Linked DNA regions of Pelodiscus sinensis. The protein of the gene in region 3 purifies or fractionates together with the protein of the main gene of each other region. This does not show direct contact. Links are inferred from orthologs where the notes say so. Each region holds a gene or a part of one and is shown on either strand. Other genes may lie near its edges.

Region 1 (7,595 bases), on a different chromosome or scaffold from region 3:
TTTTCCAACTTACTCCATCAGCCTTTTTCACCCAGTCTTGTGCATATATGCACAACTTACCCTACAGCCTCATTTCTGTCTTTTGCTAGTTTTGCCCCTACTAGCAACAGACAGATATGAAATGTAGGAGGCAAAGCAATGTCTAAGGACATTGTTAGGTCAGAAGCCAACCTACTTCTGGGCGAGTTCTAGGATTCCCATCTCAGTGTATCCCTTACTTCAGGAACTTCATTTTTCAAGTACCAATTTTGCTCATTTTACAGGTTAATTGATACAGTGAACAGTCAGCATTCAAGGATTTTTCGCAGATCTCATGACTCCCATTTCCTACCCACACCTCCATAGACTATTAGGCCATAAAGAATATTTAAGTTTACAAAAGAGTGACAATGGAGAGGTGAAAAATGCTATGATTGCTTTTGAATTAGGGATGTAACAGTACAGTCGATTAACTGATAAGCAAAAGCTTATAGGTTAATGCTATAGACTACACTCATTGCCCCCACCCCCCGCCAGTAAAATTTTTAGCAGGCTGGCCAGCAGCCCAGCTTAGCCCTGGCTTGCACTGGGTCCTGGACCTACCCCCACTGCAGCTCTGCATTTAAAGTTTATTAGAAGCTAGGCAGCCCGGCTCAGTTCCGGTTTGTGCCGGGTCTGGGAGCTCAGACTCCTCCCCCCCGGACAGGGGCTGCCTGGGGACTATAGAATAGTCGACTAACCAATAAGAATTCATGAGGTTAATTGACTATTCAATTCACCAATATTTAACATCCATATTCTGAATATAGTTATTCATTTCTCCAGATTGTTCATCTGTAAATTAAAAACTTTGTTACAATCAATTTAAAACTCCTACCTTAAAAGATTCCACCATAAACTGAGAATCAACAAGAAAAACTCCACAGACACGAAATTCCCACTGTTGCAGCTGCTCCACCAGCTGTTTCATCATTGGCAAATGAGTATAAAGTTCAATCTGACCTAGGACACATACATAATTAATATGCAGGAGTGTAAAGCTAATGCTGAGACAGTAATAGCATATTAGTTCATCAAATACCATTATAGTAGATAGGCAGAAGATATTGCTATTAAAATTAGTGAAATCTAGCACAGAATGTGTGATAGCATTATCTAAAAAGAAGTATTTGCTCTTGGACAGTTTTAAACAAAATAATATGTTTCATTTTGGCACTAAACCACATAACAGTTAAAAAAGGCTTTATCTGCAAATGATCAAATACATGCAAAAAAAATCTACACATCAGATAAGAAAAAAAATTAAGTCACCAGAATATAAAAGCTTGTTTACCTGGGCAATCAAAGAGTATGTAGTCATCCTCCACATGGCCAAGACAATCCTCAAGCCAATCAAAGTTATTGGCAAAGTATTCCATGCAAAACACTAAACCACCATTGGGACCAAACCTTAAGTTGTCATCTTCCATAACATCATCTACTTCAATTAATTCTCGAATGTCTAGAATAAAAAGTGCATGTTTTGTGTTTTTTTCAACACTTCATAAATAAATTCCAGAAGCAAATTCCTACAAGTTTAAATCTCCAAATGATCTTCGCCAACTAAATTTGTTTCACGTGCTGCCCCAGCTCTCCCATCCCCCATGCCTTTTGCCAATTTTTGTGATTTTACAGTCACAAATTCCTGGGTTTTTTTTAAAGTGTTGTTTCTTTTCTCCATTCCTTCAAACAGACAAAAAAAATGTATATATAGGGGGAAACCAGAACACTGACTATTTCTAAAAGGTTTGTAAAATACTGCTATAGATTCAGGAAAAATATTGTATAGGTCCTACTAATATTGCCTCAAAATACCATAGTTTTGTGTGTGTGTGTATAATATATATATATATATATATATATATATCCTTTTATTAAAAAATAAAAATCAGATTTAAAATCGGGAGAGTGCTGTAAGTCAAATCGGAACAGCTTTGACATGCAGACAGGTCAAATTTGAATTAAATTTGAATTTGTCATTAAAAAGAAAACTCGATATTCAAGCCTGATTCAGCCTGTGTAAGAACTGTTCTATTCTCTATCCATTTTCAGCAGTTCGGAGAGTACAGGAAATTAAGAAACAATGCACCCAAACACAACTCACCAGCCATCACAGGATAATTGAAGTATTCTGCTGCAGGGTCCAGGTTAACAACTTGCACTGAGCGGTTTAGGGCTGCACAATGCTGAACCATGGTGGAACAGTAAGTGCTCTGTAATTTAAATAGGAATCTTATTACCCACTGAAAGTACCTAAAAGTTGCAATTTTATACCTGAAAGTAGAGGCAACAGTCTTAATATTGAAAGCAGGAGTCTGGGAATCTGAATACCCGAATTCCATTCCCAGCTCTGCCTGACGTAACCGTCCAACATATGCAGCACTTCCCCTCTATGCCTGAGTATCCCTGGCTGTGAAAGGGGGATAACACCTCCTCTGTACAGCACCGTCCAGTCTCCCGATGAAAGGAGCGATGCAAACGCAATGCAAAGGGTTATCTGTAGGCTACCACAAAGGACTATTTTATCAGAAGAGTCACCGCCACTTTACACCATGTCAGATTGCAAGAAACGCCAACGGGAGTACACGGCAACTTCCACTTAAGCCGCCTCATAACCCTCCACTTACCCCCACGCCTCCAAGTACTTACCCATGCCTCAGTTTCCCATGCCTCAGTTTCCTCAATTACCCCAACCCCTTATGCCCCGCCCCCATTCCCGCCGCACGCCCCGGGTCCACCCTCGGTACAAGGCGAAGGGTGGTCTCACCTTCCCACTGCCCGCCGGGCCCATGACCAGCTGGGCGAAGCGGGGCATGGCTGCTGCTCAGTTTCTCCAACGCAGCGCGGAGACAGCAGGGACCGAGCGAAAGGAACTGACCCCTCCGCGATCCCGTAGCGTGGCGGATACGCCGTATTCGCACACTAGAGCTCCTCGGATACGGAGCGTCCCAAAGCTCAAACTTCCTATAGAGGCCGAATCGCCCCGTTCGGCTCCTGGAGAGGACGTGGAAGACTATTCCTGCGCACGCGCGGAGACGCTTTGCTGGCGGAGTGGGCTGTTGGGCGGGGCGCCGAGGCTCGTACCTGGGTTAACCTAGTGGGTCACAGGCGTCTGGGCGGCAGGTCCGCAGAAACTGGCGGTGCCCAGAGCCCGCAACCCCTCCCCCCCCCAGATCCGCCCTCCCGCCTACGCCTCTCGGTGGGGAGGATGGAGTTTGGGTGCGGGAGGAGGAGTGGGGAGGATGGAGTTTGGGTGAGGGAGGAGGAGTGGGGGGTGCAGTTTGGGTGAGGGAGGGAGAGTGGGGGGGTGCAGTTTGGGTGAGGGAGGGAGAGTGGGGGGGGATGCAGTTTGGGTGCGGGAGGAGGAGTGGGGGGGTGCAGTTTGGGTGCGGGAGGAGGAGTGGGGGGGGTGCAGTTTGGGTGCGGGAGGAGGAGTGGGGGGGGTGCAGTTTGGGTGCGGGAGGAGGAGTGGGGGGGGTGCAGTTTGGGTGCGGGAGGAGGAGTGGGGGGGGTGCAGTTTGGGTGAGGGAGGGAGAGTGGGGGGGATGCAGTTTGGGTGAGGGAGGGAGAGTGGGGGGGATGCAGTTTGGGTGCGGGAGGAGGAGTGGGGGGGGTGCAGTTTGGGTGCGGGAGGAGGAGTGGGGGGGGTGCAGTTTGGGTGCGGGAGGAGGAGTGGGGGGGGTGCAGTTTGGGTGCGGGAGGAGGAGTGGGGGGGGTGCAGTTTGGGTGCGGGAGGAGGAGTGGGGGGGGTGCAGTTTGGGTGAGGGAGGGAGAGTGGGGGGGATGCAGTTTGGGTGAGGGAGGGAGAGTGGGGGGGATGCAGTTTGGGTGAGGGAGGGAGAGTGGGGGGGATGCAGTTTGGGTGCGGGAGGAGGAGTGGGGGGGTGCAGTTTGGGTGAGGGAGGGAGAGTGGGGGGGATGCAGTTTGGGTGCGGGAGGAGGAGTGGGGGGGATGCAGTTTGGGTGCGGGAGGAGGAGTGGGGGGGGTGCAGTTTGGGTGAGGGAGGGAGAGTGGGGGGGATGCAGTTTGGGTGCGGGAGGAGGAGTGGGGGGGATGCAGTTTGGGTGCGGGAGGAGGAGTGGGGGGGGTGCAGTTTGGGTGAGGGAGGGAGAGTGGGGGGGATGCAGTTTGGGTGAGGGAGGGAGAGTGGGGGGGATGCAGTTTGGGTGCGGGAGGAGGAGTGGGGGGGTGCAGTTTGGGTGAGGGAGGGAGAGTGGGGGGGTGCAGTTTGGGTGCGGGAGGGAGAGTGGGGGGGGTGCAATTTGGGTGCTGGTGCAGCCTCTGGGCTGGGCCAGTGGATGTAAGAAGGGGTGAGGGGTTACAGGCTTTGGAATGGAGTGAGGTGCGAGAACAGGTGTGGAGGGAGAGGGTACATGTTATAGTGCTGGGCTTCTCAATATGTGGCCCATGGGCCATATGCGGCGCTCAGCCCGTTTGTTTGCGGCCAGTGGTGTGGTTTGGATTTACGCAGGGCTCAATATGCGGCCTGCAGGTGAGAGCCCCCCCCCAAAAAAAGTAGTCAATATAATGGTTTTTTGGTGATATGCGTTTTAGTAGTTTAAGTCCTGGACTGTCATTGCTCACTAAAAGTGCTGTCCTATGGATGGAAATCGGGTAAATATTGCATTTTATTAATATCAGCACAACTGACTTAAATGGGGCCTGTGTGTTATGTGGTCTTGCTTAATCTTTGTATTCATGCCCAAAATGTGAAAGAAGCTGAGTGTATATATATTTGCATGTATATGCAACCACATTTAAGTTTCAGCCCTCAGCTAGGGTTGCCAGGTGTCTGGTTTTGAACCGGACAGTCCGGTATTTGAGCTTTCTGTCCGGGAAACAAATTGAGAAAATACCCGACATATAAATGTCCAGTATTTTCTAATTAAGTAAGTTTTATTGTTATCCTGAGTATCAGTACAAAGTTGCATAGTGCGTGAACGTGTCTACCAGCCAGGCAGTACACAGCTACGCAGTAGGGAGGAGGGGGCGGGGGTGAGGCGGGATGGAATCTCTGGGGTCGGACTCACTCATGCACCCTGCCGGGACCATGCACGGGATGGGCAGCACTCCAGGATCTGTGTGTGCCCAAACCAGCCCTCTCCCCACCAGCCAGTTCTTCCCCTCTGACCCCTCCTCCCCCGCCCGGCCAGTCCTGCTCCCTGCCTGCCAGTCGTCTCCCCCGCACCGCCGCAGTCAGCCCCGCTCCCCTCCGACCCTCTCCCGGACAGCCCTGCTTCCCACCAGCTGGTTCCTTTCCCCCAATCTCCCCCAGCCAGCCCTGCTCCTCCCGACCCCCTCCCAGCCAGCCCCGCTCTCCACCAGCTGGTCCGCCTCCCAATACCCCTATTTCCCCTGGCCAGCCCCACCCCCGCCAACCTTCTCCTGGCCAGCCTTGCTTCCCACCAGCTGGTTCCTTCCCCCAATTTCCCCTGGACAGCCCTGCTCCTCCCGACCCCCTCCTGGCCAGCCCAGCTCTCCGCTGGCCAGCCTCCACCCCAAAATCACCCCGGCTAGCCTCGCTCCCCCTGACCCCTTCCTGGCCAGCCCTGCTTCCTGCCAGCCATTCTCCCCCTCCCCCCACCATCAGATCTGCTCCTCCTATCCTCCCCGCCCAGCCCTGCTTCCCGCCAGCCAGTTGCCCCCTGCCCCCGATCAGCCCTGCTCCCCCGAACCCCTCCCAGCTGGTTCCTCCCCTCCCCCCATTCTGAGATCTTGTATGTCTGATATTATTTTGAAAGCCATCTGGTAACCCTACCCTCAGCATGTGCGGTAGGTATCATTGTGGCTCCCAGGACTTCCAAAGTTGAGTCACCTTGGTGTAACGCTTAGCTGTGGCACCCAGGAGTGGGGACTGGGAGTCTCTGTGTTCTGCTGCCAAAGATGGCTTTCAAAAAAATATCGGACACACATGATCTCTGTAGTGTAGACAAGGGCTTAGCTTCTGAAACTTTTGGGTACCATTGGCTCACATTTTGTACCTTTTCTCTGCAACATGAGAGCTAGAAAGATGCAAGCTGAGAGTCTCAACGTGATGGACCCCCTGATGCTTTATGAAATGGACTTATGGGTACAAATGTACATAACTCCAAAGTGCTTTGAGCAAATTACTTCATGTAACCTATCAATCTTCATATCTTAATCTGCTAGATCTGTTCATCTCATTTTGGTATGTGTGTCATTCTTGTGTATAAAATTAGACATATGGACTGGGGAATGCTTTATGGTTTTAAATGTGTGAATGAATAGCATTAAAGATGCAATGTCTTGATGACCAACTTGATGACCAACACTTTCTTTTGTCCTTTAAGTCTTAGCAGTGGTTGGTCTGGGAAAGTCACATGTTCACCCCAACTGGCCAGGTGAATTCCCAGGAGGGAATCTTTAAAAACAATAGGAAGGTAGTAGTCTGGGTCTTTGGGCTGGTTGGGCAGATGTGAAGAGGGTGAACTAAAGGCTCCAAGGTGAGGGACAGCCCTGGTTTGGAAGGTTGTGCTGGAAATGAGACAGTTTTAGGGTGAGTTTATAGTTTGTTCTGAGGATTTTAGTTAGTGTCAGAATTAGCTTAGCAGTTTTTGTTACGTTTGATTTGTAATCTACTTTGCTCTGCCTGTTCTCACTTACTACCACTTAAATCAGGGCTACTCAACTTTGGAAGCCCCGAGCGTCACAATGATACTCACAGCACATGCAGTGGGCCACAGCTTAAGTGTGGTTGCATATACATGTAAATATATATGCAAGTATATGCAAATAACTTCTTTCACGCTTATTGGCATGAAAACAAAGATTTAAGTTGTGGCGCTAGACCCAAACATGGCCAGTGTGAGCCAGTCAGCACTTTTTAGATTCTGCCCACAAGGCTAAGTAGCCAGCACTTCCCACAATGCCCCAGCTCCTGACACCTCCTCTCTGGGGACTAGAAACACTGACACTCTGTACCCATCTGGTCCAGCCAGCCTGTCCACTTGTGTCTTTCAGTGCTCACCCCGCATGGAAGATGCCTCGTCATTGTGGAGTGTGTTCCCAATAGAGGCCACGTTCAAAGGATCCCACCTGCAGACCGCGTGTTGAGCCACATAAACCCAAATCAGACCACAGGCCACAAATAAATGGGCCATGAGCCACATGTGACCCACAAGCCATGTGCTGAGTAGCCCTGACTTAAATCCTACTGCTTGTTGTTAATAAAAACACTTTATTTTCTATCAAGCCCAATGAAAATAATTTTTACCTGGCAGGGAGGGGCAACCAGTGTGTACATTTCCCCTTTCATTGCTAAAGGGAGCTTACCCAAGTAATTCATTGGTGGGTTTTGATCCCATTTGGGGAGTGGTATCTCAGGAAGCTGGGGCCTAAACTGGCCTTTCCTTGGACCAGAAGAGATTCAGTATCTTTACTGCTTCCTGGGGGCAGAGGAGGGCACTGATCTCAGCAAGGTATCTTGGCTGAGGGAGACCAGGAAGCTGGCCCTGCAGGATAGGTGGTGAGGAGGCCCAGAGAGTGGGAAAGCAAATGGCAGTGGCCCTGTCAGCACTCCTGGAAGCCCCTCCCCCAGGGTCTTCTGTGAGCTCAC
Region 2 (7,178 bases), on a different chromosome or scaffold from region 3:
GAGTCTACACAGCATCCAAAACTCGAAATAAGCTGCGCAAATTGCGTACTTATTTCGGAATAGCTAATTTCATCATTTGGCGCTATCTACGGATTTTGAAATAAAGCACTATTTTGGGCCACTCCTTACTCCTCGTAGAATGATGGCGAAATAGCGTGCCCGCTATATTTCAAAATAGCTGACACATTTCAAAGACATGGGGCAACTATTTCAGAATACCTCTGGTATCCCAAAATAACTTTGCTTTGTAGACAGACCCCATGACAGCATGTGGAGCCTCTTGCCCAACTTAATTGCATGAATGCTCCCTGATGCACTCACAAATCACTAAGAGGACGTCTACACTGCATGGCTATTTTGAAATAAGCTATTATGTCTACACTGCAGGGAAGCCTCAAAATTAGTCTGAGGCAGGCTTCCCTAATGTAAATGTGATATCTCCATTTAGAGCCCCAGGAGGCACGGGGGAGGAATAACTTAGAATGGCCCTGGTGAGGGGTTATTTCAAAATATCAGCAGTGGAGCATCTACATATGCCTTTTTTCAAAATAGCTATTTCAGAATAGGCGTTATTCCTCATAGAATGAGGTTCACAGATCTCAGAATAAGCCGTCCGTTATTTCAAAATTATTTCGACATAACAGAATGGCTGTATAGATGCTTATGTTGTTATTTCAAAATAATGCTAGTTATCCCAAAATAACAGTGCAGTGTAGATGCACACAAAGAAAAAGGCACCAGCAAATCTCCCATGGCCCCAGCTTTATACTCAGGACTATACTGTCCTGTCCTGGTCAGAAATTTGTCTGCCACTCCCTCAATGTGAAGAGGACACACACTAGCCTTTGTAACCTTAAGTGACTACAGCGTGTAGTCAACCTGTGGAACTCCTTGCCAGAAGAGGCTGTGAAGGCTAGGACTATAATAGAGTTTAAAGAGAAGCTAGATAATTTCATGGAGGGTAGGTCCATAAAAGGCTATTAGCCAGGGGATAAAATGGTGTCCTTGGCCTCTGTTTGTCAGAGGCTGGAGAGGGATGGCAGGAGACAAATCACTTGATCATTGTCTTCGGTCCACCTTCTCTAGGGCACCTGGTGTTGGCCACTGTCAGCAGACAGGATACTGGGCTAGATGGACCTTTGGTCTGACCCAGTACGGCCGTTCTTATGACTTGATAAGGGACTGCAGTGCATGTGCAGATTTCCAAGCAAGTCAACAAAAGGCAACTTTGAAGATATGTAGCATTCCTCACTGATCCTGGAGCAAGGTGACTATGGACCTCAGCACTGCTGACTACTGATCTTGACTTTTCGGAGTTAGATGAACTATCAAACTCTACTGCAGCAACAATAGAGAAAAAGCAACAGAAAACTTTAGTAGGAATGGCATACTGGATTGTATTATCTCTGATAATGGACCACGATTCACCAGCAAGGAATTTGCTAAAGATTGGATATTTAACCACATTACAAGCTCCTCTAGCCTCTGTTTCTCTGGAGGAGGGACAGGGGAGGGATCACATGAGGATTACCTGTTATGATCCCTCCCTTTGGAGCATCTGGTATAGGCCACTGTTGGCAGACAGGATACGGGGCTAGATGGACATTTGGTCTTACCCAGTATGGCCGTTCTTATGTTCTCTACATTACAACAGTCAGTTCAATGGCAAAACTGAATCATCCATCAAAATTGCAAAAATTATCTTAGGCCGTGTCTACACTGCCGTTTGGTGCAAAAAATATGCAAATGAACTGAAGCATGGAATATCACCACATCTCATTTGCATAATTAATGAGGCTCTGTTTTTGCGCAAGAGGCTTTTGCAGTGTAGACACAGCTTTAAAGAATATGGAAAACAAGTGGCAAGTTATCCTAAAATGAAGAAATACCCCCACTGATGGCATGACCAGCAGCTGCTCTCTAGAAGCTTTAATATCCAGGTGCACATGCACATTGGTACTTACAGTCAATGTGCTATTATGTCCTGAAGTAATGGAAGGAGTCACAACTCAGAGAAACAAAGCTAAAACTAGGCCAGAGCCTTTCCAGAGCTACAATGTGAAGAAACAGTTCAGAGTGTGATTATTTCCTTAAACCAGATTCTGCAGATGAAAACAGGCAACATGTGTGGAAATAGATAAACATCCATTCCCATATTATTGTGGTTGATGAACATACATATAATTGGAACAGTAAATTAATCTGTCCAATACAGTTTCCTATAGCTAGAGGAAACCTGATATGGGGTGAGGAGAAAGGCAAGATCCTTCTAACCGTTATAATTGGATAAACTTAAAAACAACAAATAGTATGGCAGCACTTTATAGACTAACAAAACACATAGATGGCATCATGAGCTTTCATGGGCATAGCCCACTTCTTCAGATGACTGGAGTGTTGGAATTATAATTAGAATACACTGAATTCACTACCTAACAGACACATGACAGCAGTGGGACCACTAGAACATGCCATCCAGCACCATGAAAGGACTATCAAAATCAATAAGAATGACATTACAAACACATTAGCCTTTCCTGGCACCATGAAAAGTAATTGCACACAAAAAGACATCAAACCTCATGAAGTTAATGGTAAATCTTAAATACTTTAACTCTCCACAACTACATCATCAAATGTCATTGCATAAACACAGTCAAGTTCTGTTTTAATATTTGTTGTGTTCTCGTTTTATCATAGAACCACAAGGTGTTACTGAGATTTGCTGTCCTAAACAAACGTGACAAAGGGAACATTATGCAAGACAGCTTTTCACCCACAAGAGGGAGCTGCAACTAGAATTTCCAAGGACCTAAGCTGTAAAATCTTATATAACAGGATGTGGAAAACAAGTCTCCGAGGGATATGTTTGTATCTGCTAAAACCAGGAGTCCTTTGGCACCTTAAAGACTAACAGAGTTAATGCATGACCTTAGTCCAGATCACCAAATGCATCTGTACTTTTTATTCACGAAAATTTATGCCCAAATAAATCTGTTAGCTTTTAAGGTGCCACATTGCCAAGTCCTCTCTATCAGATCAAGAATCACAAAGCCAATTGATGGGCAAGCGTCAGCTGCAGCGGGTTTACCGCAGTGAAGATACTGCAGTAAGTAGATCTAAGTATGTCGACTTCCGCTAGATTGTTCACACATCTGAAGATGCCTTTACGTTCTTAGATTGACAGGCCAGGGCGGTGTAGACTAGAGGGCTTGTCTACACTGAACACATTCCACACAGCTGGGGCGATTATAGACGCCACTTCTGGCGCTACCCTGCAAAAAAAATCCACTTGTCCCAGCTGGGAGCCAGGTCAATAGGAGAATTCCTCTATCAACCAAGCGCTGTCTCCACAGGGACTTCGGTCAGGTTAACAACCCAGCTCGGAGCGGGGGTTTCACGCTCCTGACAGGAGTCAAACTGAATCTAAGTTCCAAGGGTAGCCCACGCCCCAGCATTAAGCCCTGGGTGGCCGCACACATCGGCAGAGCGGTGCAGGGGGGCGCCCGTTCGCGTCCCACCAGCCGCACTTAGCGTGCAGCACCCACCCACATTGGGCTGCAGGGGAATCGCGGTGTCCTCCTTCCCCGCTGCAAACTACAGAGCCCAGCATGCAACGCGCCTTCCCTTAAGGACCCGTCGCTCGGGCTCGCCCCAGCAACTTTAATGCGAGGGGACGGGCTCGGAGCAACGCATGCTGGGAGTTGTAGTTCCTGACGTGTTGGGAAGGTCTTCGCCTGCCGGGAAGAGTAGTTCTTTGGTCCCGCACTGTGTGCCGGGATTGTCTGCGCGTGCGCGGAGCCCAGGTGGTTAGAGCACCTATTGGGTTCCGGAAGGGGAGCACGCGCTCGCTGTTGAGTGTTGACTGTGAGGTCAGCACAAGGTGCCGGAAGTGTGGGCCTGGGGGGCGTGGCTGTCCCTTTCTCTCCCTGGAGCGGGAAGAGTCAATGCGCGTTGTGTCTTTCCTTCGCTGGCTCCTGGGAGCGAGTTCTGCGTTACTGTCTCTTTAAGCCCGGACAGGCGTGTGCGTTGGGCGCGCCCTGCGCGTGCGTATCGGGGCCGTGACCTCGCGCCCAGTCGGCGCGGCTCGTGACTGTTTAATTTTTTTTTTTTTTGAGAAGGGGAGGGGGGGGGGAGAATGAGAAAATAACAGCTCAGCGTTCGAGGCTATTATTGAGTTAGTGGCGCGAGCGTTACCATAGCGACCTTCCCCTCGGCGGCCTAGGGCCGGGACGAGCCGCCGCGGCCGGAGGAGCCATGGAGGAGACGGAAGGAGCAGGGGCCGCCGAGGGCCCCGGGACGGCGGTGACCGAGATCCGGGTGCCGGGCCCGCGGGCGCTGCGGCTGCTGGAGTGGAAGGTGTCCGCGGGAGCGGCGGTGAAGATCGGGTCGCTGCTGGCGCTGTGCGCGCCCCTCCCGCCGCCCGGCCGCGCCACCACCCCCCCGGCCCAGGGCCCCGGCGCCCGGCCCCCGCGAGCGGCCGCCGAGCGCCGAGTGAAGGCGGAGCGGCCCGGGGTGGTGCGCGAGCTGTGTGCGCGGCCCGGACAGGTCATCGCGCCCGGGTAAGAAGGCGGCTGGGAGCGCGGCCGCCCTGACCGCGCCGGGGAGGCGGGCGAGGGGTATGGGTGCAGCCGCCCCGCCCCGGGCTCGCAGAGGCCGTGCCGACCGGCCGCAGCATCGCCCGGCCCGGCCGAGCCCGCCGGGGCTCGGGTAGCGCATCCGCGAGAGGTGTCGGGCCGGGCTGTGAGAGCCGCAGAGTCTCTCGAAACCGAGCGTGTCTCCGCCGCCCCCCGTCCGCTTTAACTTCGTGGCTGCGGCTGGCGGAGCGGCCCAACAGCCACCGGCTCGCGGCGCGAATGCGCTGTGGCGGGTGTGGGAGTTGTTCTGCTGAAGGTCTGGTTCCTGAGACCTCCTTTTGCTGTTTGCTCCGCTGCGTGTTTTGAGCGCCTCTGCGCAGTGATCACCAGTTACACTGAGCCTCTTGCCTATGTTTTTGGTCATAGCCGCAGTCCAAGTAAGCTAGAGACTATCAGTCTCATCCCGTCCCCGAATTATAAAATTTCTCTCTTCCCCCCCCTCCCTCTCAGACTTGGCCTATACCTCTGTAGTTCACACGGTGCAAAAGTCTAAGTAACGTTCAAACACCAACAAGTTTTAACGGAAATTGACCACATACATTTTATTTGGAAAAAGTTATATTTCCAGGAAGGCAGATCTCAGTGTAGCCGCTGTTATACCACGGATATATAAACACAGCAATAGAAGGGATTTTTTTTTTCAGTCGCTGTAGTAAAAATACACCTCCTAGAAAGATGGTAGTTTGGTCTATGGAAGAATTCATTCCAGCAGAAAACTTTCACAGTCTCAGTGATGTAGTTAGGTCAGTTTAAATGTTAGGAGTACATTAGCCTAGTGCTTGATGCTGCCAACACATATTAAAGGGAAGGCAAAGGTGAGCTATAGAAACAGCTTTCATAACCTCGATATTTTCCTTTCTCTCTGCCTCAAATTCCTTATTTGTAATATGGGACACTAGTATTTCTGTAACTTGTAGGGTTATTGTGTGACTAAACTATTTCATATTTATGAACTGCTCAAGTCCTATGAAGATGGGTGGGATAGGAAAAAGTTTATAAAGACTTATGTTAATGATATATGCCTGGCGGAGAAAGGGATAACATAGTCTAATGGCTGGAGGTAGAAGATAGACACATACATCCTCTGCATATGCTCTAGAATGCCACTGAAATAAACAGCTGTCATGGGTTATTATTTAGTGTTAATACAGAAGTGCTTTTAACACAAAGTTGTGCAAATAGGTGCATTCCGTTTTTATTGTATTCTTGAAGCAGTAGTTTCCTGTTTGTTTTGTGTGTTGTGGAAGTGAAGATCAAATAATGAAGGAATCTAACAGTTTTCTGCTTAACAGAATAAGAAAGGAGGAAGTTTAATCTAGAGATCAGATTTGCTGTAATAGAACTTTTATTGATGACGACATCATTGCCATACGCTCTAAAATATGTGTATACCAATCCTATGCATTTTAGTGAATAGCTCTCAATGTGGAGAGATATTATATGACAAATATTTTCCATTGTTTAATGGTATTCACATAATTTTCTGTTGATTGACTTCTGACTTGTTAAATATGTTGTCTTTGTGTTCCCAGCTGGTGAATAGCATGTTTCAGGTCTCTGGGTTAAATTGAGCTAATGGCTTGCTACCCTACACTTCAAACAGGTCTTTCTCGACAGGAAGCCATTGAAACCTTCTACTTCCTTTGTTTTATGATGGCAAGTTATTTTCTTTTATTGCAGTTCTTTTGATATTTAGGTGGATGCAGCCAGGCCTGAACTTTCTTTATTGGAAATCATTGGTGTATCTAGAACATCTGCATCTTTTCTAAGATCCAGTAAACTAGTATATATAAACAAGACTTTTATCGGTCAATAAAAAAACATATAAAAAGACAGTTGAGTTCTTTTAGTAATTTTTATTCTTGTGATAGAATTGTGGGGGAAATTGGACTACAGGGTTCTACAAATGCTACTTCAGGACTAGGCAAGTATATTTTAAAAACCTGTTTTGTCAATACTAGTCTGGAACAAGTGTATGCCAGAAGTTTCTGCTGAAATTGTCCCAGGGCTTTGTGGCGGGAAAGATAGAGAGAGCATATGAGGACTAAAACTATGAAATGGTAAATTGGTATTTAGATGATGTAGCAGAGATGCAATTATTGTACCTTAATCAAAATCAAGAACATTTTTACCATGCTGTGTTGGTGCAAATATTTGTTGTTCTCATTTCTAAGTCATGGTTAAATTAACAAATACATAGGCTTATGTGACTTGAGACAACTTAATTTTTAGGGGGCTTGCACATATTAAAAACAAGTGCAGTATGGATCTGATACTTAGTTGCCAGGAAGTATAAACATTTTGTGTTAGGGTATGCACAAAAGTTGTGCACAATTGTGTGCTGAACTCAGTTAATGGTTGTCTCCTTGATTGGAATTACCAGATGTTTATATGAGACCCTTCAGAAAAGACATACACTGGGTTGTTATTCATTCATAATGCTTTAGTTGCCATGTAAGCTGTGCTTGGTGTTGTAATACTAGTTTGGGATACGTTTTTGTTGTCTTCTGGGGTTTTGAATATTGAGCTAGTACATTTGTT
Region 3 (7,333 bases):
CCTGGCATCAGCCACTGTCGGAAGACAAGATGCTTGGCTAGACAGACCTTTGGTCTGATCTAGTATGGCAGTTCTTATCTTTAATGAATTCTTATTCTGATATATTGTTACACTATCGCATACACTAATAACCCAAATCTGAATTGTATCACAAATGCATGCTGGCTAGCAATTTTTACTAATCAAGAGTGCACTTTAGATACTAACATACCATACAATAAAGTTTAATTGAATCTTTAATGCAGTATCACCATTTGCTCTTAAGATTTAAATATTCTCTCTCAGATAACACTCACCTATTAAATAACCTTGCTTTTTAAGGCATTTAAGATATTTTTGTTCATCACCACTAAGTTGTTCTTCAGTTTTTTCTGCATCTGCTTTTAATCTTTCCTGTCTTCTGAACAGCCTGTCAGGTGTAGGATTAATAATTGGAAATTTCAGGAGATTTAAGGTTGTGCCTGAAAAATAAATGCCAACGTTATCCAGGTCTATGATTGCGCAAATTAAATATAGTATATAAAAGCAATTAAATGTTAAGGTGCAAACAGTGAAAAAAGCCACATACAGAACAAATTTCACTGGCTTTATGATGGCCTCATTCTTCTTTATGAAACAGAAAAACAATTACACAATAACAAAACTAAAGACAACTGCTAAGTTAAAGACTCTTCTCAGAAATTACTGTCCACAGTGGCTAGGACAACACTATGATGTTGGACAACAGTTGTTAGCAGTTGTGTTAGCTTCTAGGAAGCCAATGTGCTGAGCATGATACGAATGGGTTGCACCTATACACACATCCTTTTGCAAAGAAACATTACTTGTGGTACAACTGCATGAAAACTAGCAAAATTCTTCACAATTAAGACCTAATCCATTTTGCCATTATCATGATTCTTATTTATGGCAATTAATTTACTGAAAAATAAACGATAAAAGCCAGACATGAAAACTATCTTTAAAAACTATTGCAAGTAAACAGAACTTTTATAAGAGCAAAACCTGGTGTTTCTTTCAATTTGCCTTTAAAAGTGATGCGCAGAGAAAATAGGACTGTGGTCATTTAGATTTGATTTTTTTTAACTTTATAAATTAATATCTTGTTTGTAGCTTTTTCCCCCCGGAAGACACCATGGCCTTTTTGAGACTAGGAAGGAAGATATTTTTTAAAAATGTGTTAGCTAACACTAATGCATTTTACAATCTTAGTACAGTGAATGAAATTGTATCATTTATAATTTTCAGACAGGTTGCCATGTTAGTCTGTTTCAGCAAAAACAATGAAGAGTCTTTAAGGTGCCACAGGGGACACACATTTATTTGGGCATAAGAGCTTTTATGTGCTGCAGTCCTCTTCATCCGGTGCATGAAGTGGAAACTACAATTAGGTGGGGAGATATACACAGATGCAATCTTGTTATAATCTATAACGTTTTAGCTAACCAAGGTCAAGATTATGGGGGAATGGAGTGTCAGTATGAGTGTCAAGAACTGTTACTTTGGGGCACCTACTATCTCAACAGGATGCTACTAACACCATTGCTAGGTCACTTTCCACACAAGTGCCAGACTCACTGAATAATGCCACTAAAAACTAGAGAGCCCTGTTTCAATTAATATTCTTCACTATTGAACGAGACTGGTAAATATTTTCCCCAGAGATTTTGAAGCGCGTTTGGCCAAATAATAGGACCTGGAATTTATGGGTTATGTTTTGAGAAACGGACATAATCCTGACATGGGACTTGCTATAGTCAGTCCTGGCCAGTGCCAAAAAGAGCCCCATTAGACTGAAGGACCGGGAAGAGGATTAACATCTGATATTAAAATACATCACACCAGTACTCTGCTCTCTGCAGGTCACTTTGCAGTTTAGTTCTGTCCTGCTGTCTGACTGCTTAGCCTTTTCCAATACTGATGCTGCCTGAATTTTTGATATTGGTAGAACGGGCAGCAGCGAGAATGAGACACCCATGCTGAAAGCAGAGAGGAGCTAATGTTTGGTTCTTCAATTTGTCAAGCAAACCTCTGAAAATGTAAAAGTTCTGCACTGGGACTGGACTACAACTAGGAGATGTGCTACTGCTTGAAGCCTGACAGATAATTCTCCTCCGTGAAATACACAGCTCTGAGCATCACCATAACATACCAATGTTGGAAATCAAATATAAGTGTTCAAATGGCAGATTTACTACCCACTTCTCAAACTAACCCCCAATCTTATCTCACAATCACAGCTCTTCTAAGCTGCCCCAAATTATTCCTTTCTATTAAATACAGCTACATCTAACCCTTAGACTGCATGCAGATGATTCCCATTGGCTAAGGCCAGCTTCACTAGGCTGAGTCAAGTTACGAGTTTTCAGAAGGTTTGAATCGTGCTGAATTTGAAGTTCTGGAAAGGCATGAGCTACCACCAGACAACCTTATCTCTGTGCTAACAAAGGTTTTTGCCATTTCACATAGCTAAAGCCTTTATCATAATGCCTATGCACGAGACCAACTTAAGGTAGCACAGGGCAAGCTTACCGCTTGCATTTGTTAGCTACTGAGTGCTTGATTTTGCAACCTTAAAAGTTCTTTTGCCAACTTTTTTTGGGGGAATGTTATTATATACATCACTACAAGATTTGCCCCACGTTACTCAGGTGCTTAACTCAAATATATCTGAAAGTCTCTCAAATATATAGTAGATAACACCCAAGAGTCTGCAGTCAAGAACAGGCCCCTATATAAAAGCCAGTTCTTACCCCAAAAAGAACTTGAGTTTTTTTAAATTCTTACCCCCAAAAAGCTTAAACGGATAATGACAGAAGTCCCCATCCATGCCCCTCTCACCTGGCCAGGGCGAGATTGTTGCTCGGTTGATCACCTCTGGGGCTTTGGACTTGCAGTAGTCAGACTGCAGCAGAGTATTGAACAGTGTGGATTTGCCAGAGTTGGTAGTGCCTATGAGATACACATCGCCATTGCACTTCCAGGAGCGCTGCAGCTTGGAGATCAGCTCCTCCACGCCATAGCCTGTCTTGGCACTGATGAGGTGCACATCCACCAAGTTGTGGCGCCCAGTCCTGTCAGCCTGGTCCCCAATGCCCTTGGCTGCAGGGAGGATGCCCAGGCGGGCACAGCTCTTCAGCAACAACTTTCGGAAGCGCTTCAGATAGTCTGGAGAGTCCCCAGGCAACAGGTCCACCTTGTTGCCCACCACCAGGATGTTTGACCCTGCACTCACCAGCTCAGGGAGGTCTGGCAGCACGGAGTCCGGTAGGTCCAGCATATCAACCATATACAACACCAGGGGGGACCGACCATGCCGGGGGGGGCTGCGCAGAGCCGCGCTAACCAGGCTGCGGTATTGCTCCCGGGTCACCTGCATGTGCTGTGCCTGCTGGTGATGGACCAGGAGCCAGCAACGTTGACACACCACCCCCTGCAGGGCCCGGTGTACCTCCGAGTCCCCCAGGGCCCCCAGTCCGTCTGAGCCCCCTGGGGTTCCCTGTGCCCCCAATTCCACCGAGCCCCCCAAAGCCTCCTGGGTCCCCAAACCTTCCAAGCCCACCAGGGGCCCCAAATCCTTCGACCAGCTTGGGGCATCTTGTGTATCCGATTCCTCCAGGCTCCTTGGCCCCCCTAAACTTTCCAAGCCCCCCCGCGGCCCCAGCTCCGCCGAGCGCCCCGGGCCCCCCCGCGGCCCCAGCTCCCCCGGGCCCCCCCGCCTGCCGGGGCTCAGGAGGCCGCGGTACTTGTCGCTGGGCAGGAAGCCGGGCGCGGCGGGGTCCCGGCACTGCAGCTCCGCCCCGCAGCCCGAGCAGCTCACCCCGCTGGGGGGCACCGAGGGGTCCGGCCGCCCCGGCGCCCGGTGCTGGCGCTTGGGCCGCGGGCCGCGGTCCGGGCGCGGGGGGGCGGGCGGCGCGGGGCCCGGCTCGGGCACGTACTCGGGGAAGACGAACGGCTCCTCCTCGCCGCGCGGCTCCCGCAGGGCGGCCAGGGCCCGGCGCCCCGGACACAGCGCGGCGGGGGGGCGCGGGGGGGCCCGAGGCCGGGCCAGGGCCCCCAGCAGCGCGCGGCTCAGCCGGAGCATGGGGGGCGCGCGGCGGCTCCGCTTCCGCTTCCGCTTCCGGCCACGCGCGGGGACAGCGAGAAGAGCGCCCCCTGCCGGGCAGTGGGTGCGCTAGGCTCCTCCCCTCCCCACTGCGTCCGATTGGCCCGCGCCACCCACGCGCTCCGGGAGGGGCGGCGCACGCGCGTTGGCCGCACGCCCCGCTAGGAACTAGTCGCGCGGTGGCTGTTTCCGGCGGAGCATAGTGCGGAGACGCCAGCCGGGAGCCGCACGCAGCCGCAGTCCGCGCCGGGTCTCCTGCGCGTGCGTGTTGGCGCTCCCCGAGTCCCTCCATCGCGGCGGCGGGTCCGAGTCCGTGGCAGCCGCTGAGGCCCCCCCCCGCACCGCCAAGATGTACGACGCGGACGAAGGTGAGCGCGGGGGTCCGGGCCCTGCTCCGTCTCCCCGGGAGCCCCGCGCGCTCAGCCAGGCGGGTGCGCGCGCAGGCCCCGGCCCGTGCCCGCGGCGTGTGCCCCCCGCGGGGAGCCCTGCGCAGCCTGGCGCCGAAAGGGATGGACCCGCCCGGCACTTGCATCACGTGCCCCGGCAGGGCCTGTGCGTGTCAGTCCCTCTGCCCCCGGAGCAGGCCCCGCCCAACGCCTCGGACCCCAGCCCGCGCGCTTTAGTGCTCTGCCCCAGGCACCTCCTGTGCGGGTTTACAGGCCCTTCGCAGCCACAGCCAGGGGTGTTAGAATGGGGGCAATGGACGAGTCAGGTAGTGGGTGGAATGTCCATCGCTAGTCAATAGGCACTTCTGCATTCCTCCTTTGAGATGTACAACAGGGGTTAGCCGGGGAGTCCCCGCTGACCCCGGGCTCCAAGGCTGCCTCTTTGAAACACGCGGCGGTGGCGTTTCAAAGGGGCAGCCCTAGAACCCAGATTCCCCAGCTGATCCTGGGCTCTTCATGGCATTTCCCCAGAACCCAGGGTCAGTTGGGGAGTTCCCAGCTGACCCCGGGCTCCACTGAAATGCTGCGGGGAGCTTTGGCGTTTCAAAGCATCAGCAGCACACAGCTGATCCCCGGCTCAACTGTGCAGCGCTGCCGCTTTGAACTACCCCATCCTCCTTCCTTTTGCTGCCTCTCATAAAGACAGCAAGGGGGAGTGGAAATCGACTAGTCTACTGATTATCTGGTAAGCAAATGCTTATTGGCTAGTCGACTAGTCCTTAACATCCCTAGCCCCAGCCAGGATCTCTCCCCTCCAGGGACAATCCCCAGCAACCCTAAAAGCAGCCTGTTAGATCCAGGCCCCAGCATGCTCTCAGTAACAGGCTGTAGCTACAACACAACAGCTCCTGGTCTGGAAAAGGCTCTACACCAGCACAGCCTGGCTCCTCCCTCCAAAATGGAGCTTACTAGCTCTCTTCGTCCATGCCTGGAAGAGCCACCGTTCCTTCCTTCTTCCCAAGGGGACTGCACGGGTAATTGGACAGGCATGTGACTGTTCTAATTTCAGCCACTACATGACTATTCCATAGTCCCTGGGGGCAGGGCCAGCAGCCAGTGTGCTCCCCCCTACTCCTGGCCCCATTCCTATGGAGCCCCCTGCTACCCCACACTGCTACCTCTGAAGCCCCAGATATCAATGAACACAAATGTTCCCCCTAATCTTTTCCATGCATGTGCTGATTTTTCCATCCATATGTGGAATAAACTTTTTATGTGCCCTGAGGCATGTGCCAAAGTGCACCTAGCTGTGGATCCTCTCCTAAGCATCTGGGCCACATTTGAATTTCTAAAACCAACTGCACAAGTGCACAGCTTACACTTAAGCCTTACAGGAAACATTGACCAACATTCCATGGTGCTAAGAGCTGAGCAAATACAGAAAAAAACATGGTCCCTGCCCTAAAGATCTTACAGTCTAACTATTACAGGAAAGCTATGAACAGAGCCTATTGTTAGTCCTCTTACAGGTTTTATTAAGCTCATTAGATTGTAGAAAAGCAAGGTATTTATGTACAGCTGTTGGGTAGTTAGAAGCTATATTCAGCCAAAAAATCTTGAATGAATAGAAAGACTGACCTGAGTGTCCTACTTTCTTGGCAGATATGCAATATGATGAAGATGATGATGAAATCACTCCAGATCTATGGCAAGAAGCATGCTGGATAGTTATTAGGTAACATTAATATTTTTAGAAAGTTTGATAGTAGTGAAGTAAACAGGAAAGTGCACCCTTAGCTTAAAAAAGGATCTAATATTTAATGTGATGAAAGTTCCAAGATTTCATATCCAAAATCATAAATGTTTTCTCTTTAAGAATGAAAGAACTGTTACAAAGAGAGAGTATGAGATTTTAGACCACTGGTCCTATGTATAATTAGCCAAAGATGAATGGTTTTGAAAAGTCAGAGCCCTCCTAGACAATCTGAAAGGTTTTTCTTGTAAATTCAGCACTAACACAATATTTTCTGTTACTGCTTGTGAGTGTAGAGCTACACTATGAGATTACTGCTAAGAAATGCAAAATAGTGAATTGGCAAGTAAAAGTCCCGAACACACAATGTCTTGTATGTGGGTCATCAGGGAACAAAGTTGAGAGATCGGGACATAAATATTTGGCTGTTTTTGAAAGTTTCTTTGGAACAATTGTATTTCAACAGTGTGCTGTGAGACAAAAACAAGAACAATTACATAGAGCAATAATGTGTTTTGATTAATTATAGTATGTTTATCTTGAATTTTAAAACCTCTTGATTACATATTCATAAACTATGTTAACTGAGAATTTTTGTTAATTAATGTTCCTGATTTTTTTCTAAGCTCCTATTTTGATGAGAAGGGCTTGGTCCGACAACAGCTGGATTCTTTTGATGAGTTCATTCAGATGTCTGTGCAGAGAATTGTAGAAGATGCACCACCTATTGATTTACAAGCTGAAGCTCAGCATGCTACAGGGGAAGTTGAAGAGCCGGTATGAGTTTCATTCTTTTAATTGTACTGATGTGAAAATTGTGCTGGGGACTCTCATCACAGTTGAACAACTGAAGGCTGCCGCAGCAGATCCAATTAGTGCGTGATATAGCTAAAAAGGAATGCATATGCTACCAGCAAGGGAATGAATGGATCACTAAATAAAGCAATGGCAAAAATAGTTTGTCTGTAACACACTTTATCCAGGGTGAGAAACACAAAAATGTTCAGCACTCATAAGTGGGGTCAGATATTCAAAAGGGCTCAGCTCCCATTGTTCTCATTTGGCACATTACCAAATTTCATTCCTTAA

The links.
Region 1: the proteins of POLR2B (region 3) and GPN3 purify together in Homo sapiens (co-immunoprecipitation; 3 studies listed by BioGRID and IntAct, counting the BioPlex papers as one, with this or other methods). This does not show direct contact. The link is inferred for Pelodiscus sinensis from reciprocal best matches to the Homo sapiens genes POLR2B and GPN3.
Region 2: the proteins of POLR2B (region 3) and CTDP1 purify together in Homo sapiens (affinity purification with mass spectrometry; 3 studies listed by BioGRID and IntAct, with this or other methods). This does not show direct contact. The link is inferred for Pelodiscus sinensis from reciprocal best matches to the Homo sapiens genes POLR2B and CTDP1.

Annotation. Positions count from the first base shown.
Region 1 is NC_134725.1:32,203,329-32,210,923, reverse strand, and holds the start of GPN3 (GPN-loop GTPase 3), read right to left. Parts: upstream 3,015-7,595; 5' UTR 2,834-3,014; coding exon 2,786-2,833; intron 2,232-2,785; coding exon 2,123-2,231; intron 1,481-2,122; coding exon 1,313-1,480; intron 982-1,312; coding exon 857-981; intron 1-856. UniProt on the Homo sapiens protein: Small GTPase required for proper localization of RNA polymerase II (RNAPII). May act at an RNAP assembly step prior to nuclear import.
Region 2 is NC_134712.1:100,310,391-100,317,568, forward strand, and holds the start of CTDP1 (RNA polymerase II subunit A C-terminal domain phosphatase), read left to right. Parts: upstream 1-4,109; 5' UTR 4,110-4,257; coding exon 4,258-4,562; intron 4,563-7,178. UniProt on the Homo sapiens protein: Processively dephosphorylates 'Ser-2' and 'Ser-5' of the heptad repeats YSPTSPS in the C-terminal domain of the largest RNA polymerase II subunit. This promotes the activity of RNA polymerase II.
Region 3 is NC_134715.1:614,789-622,121, forward strand, and holds the start of POLR2B (DNA-directed RNA polymerase II subunit RPB2), read left to right. Parts: upstream 1-4,311; 5' UTR 4,312-4,454; coding exon 4,455-4,473; intron 4,474-6,153; coding exon 6,154-6,226; intron 6,227-6,870; coding exon 6,871-7,021; intron 7,022-7,333. Other genes in the region: NOA1 (nitric oxide-associated protein 1), read right to left, coding at 297-461, 2,842-4,084. UniProt on the Homo sapiens protein: Catalytic core component of RNA polymerase II (Pol II), a DNA-dependent RNA polymerase which synthesizes mRNA precursors and many functional non-coding RNAs using the four ribonucleoside triphosphates as substrates.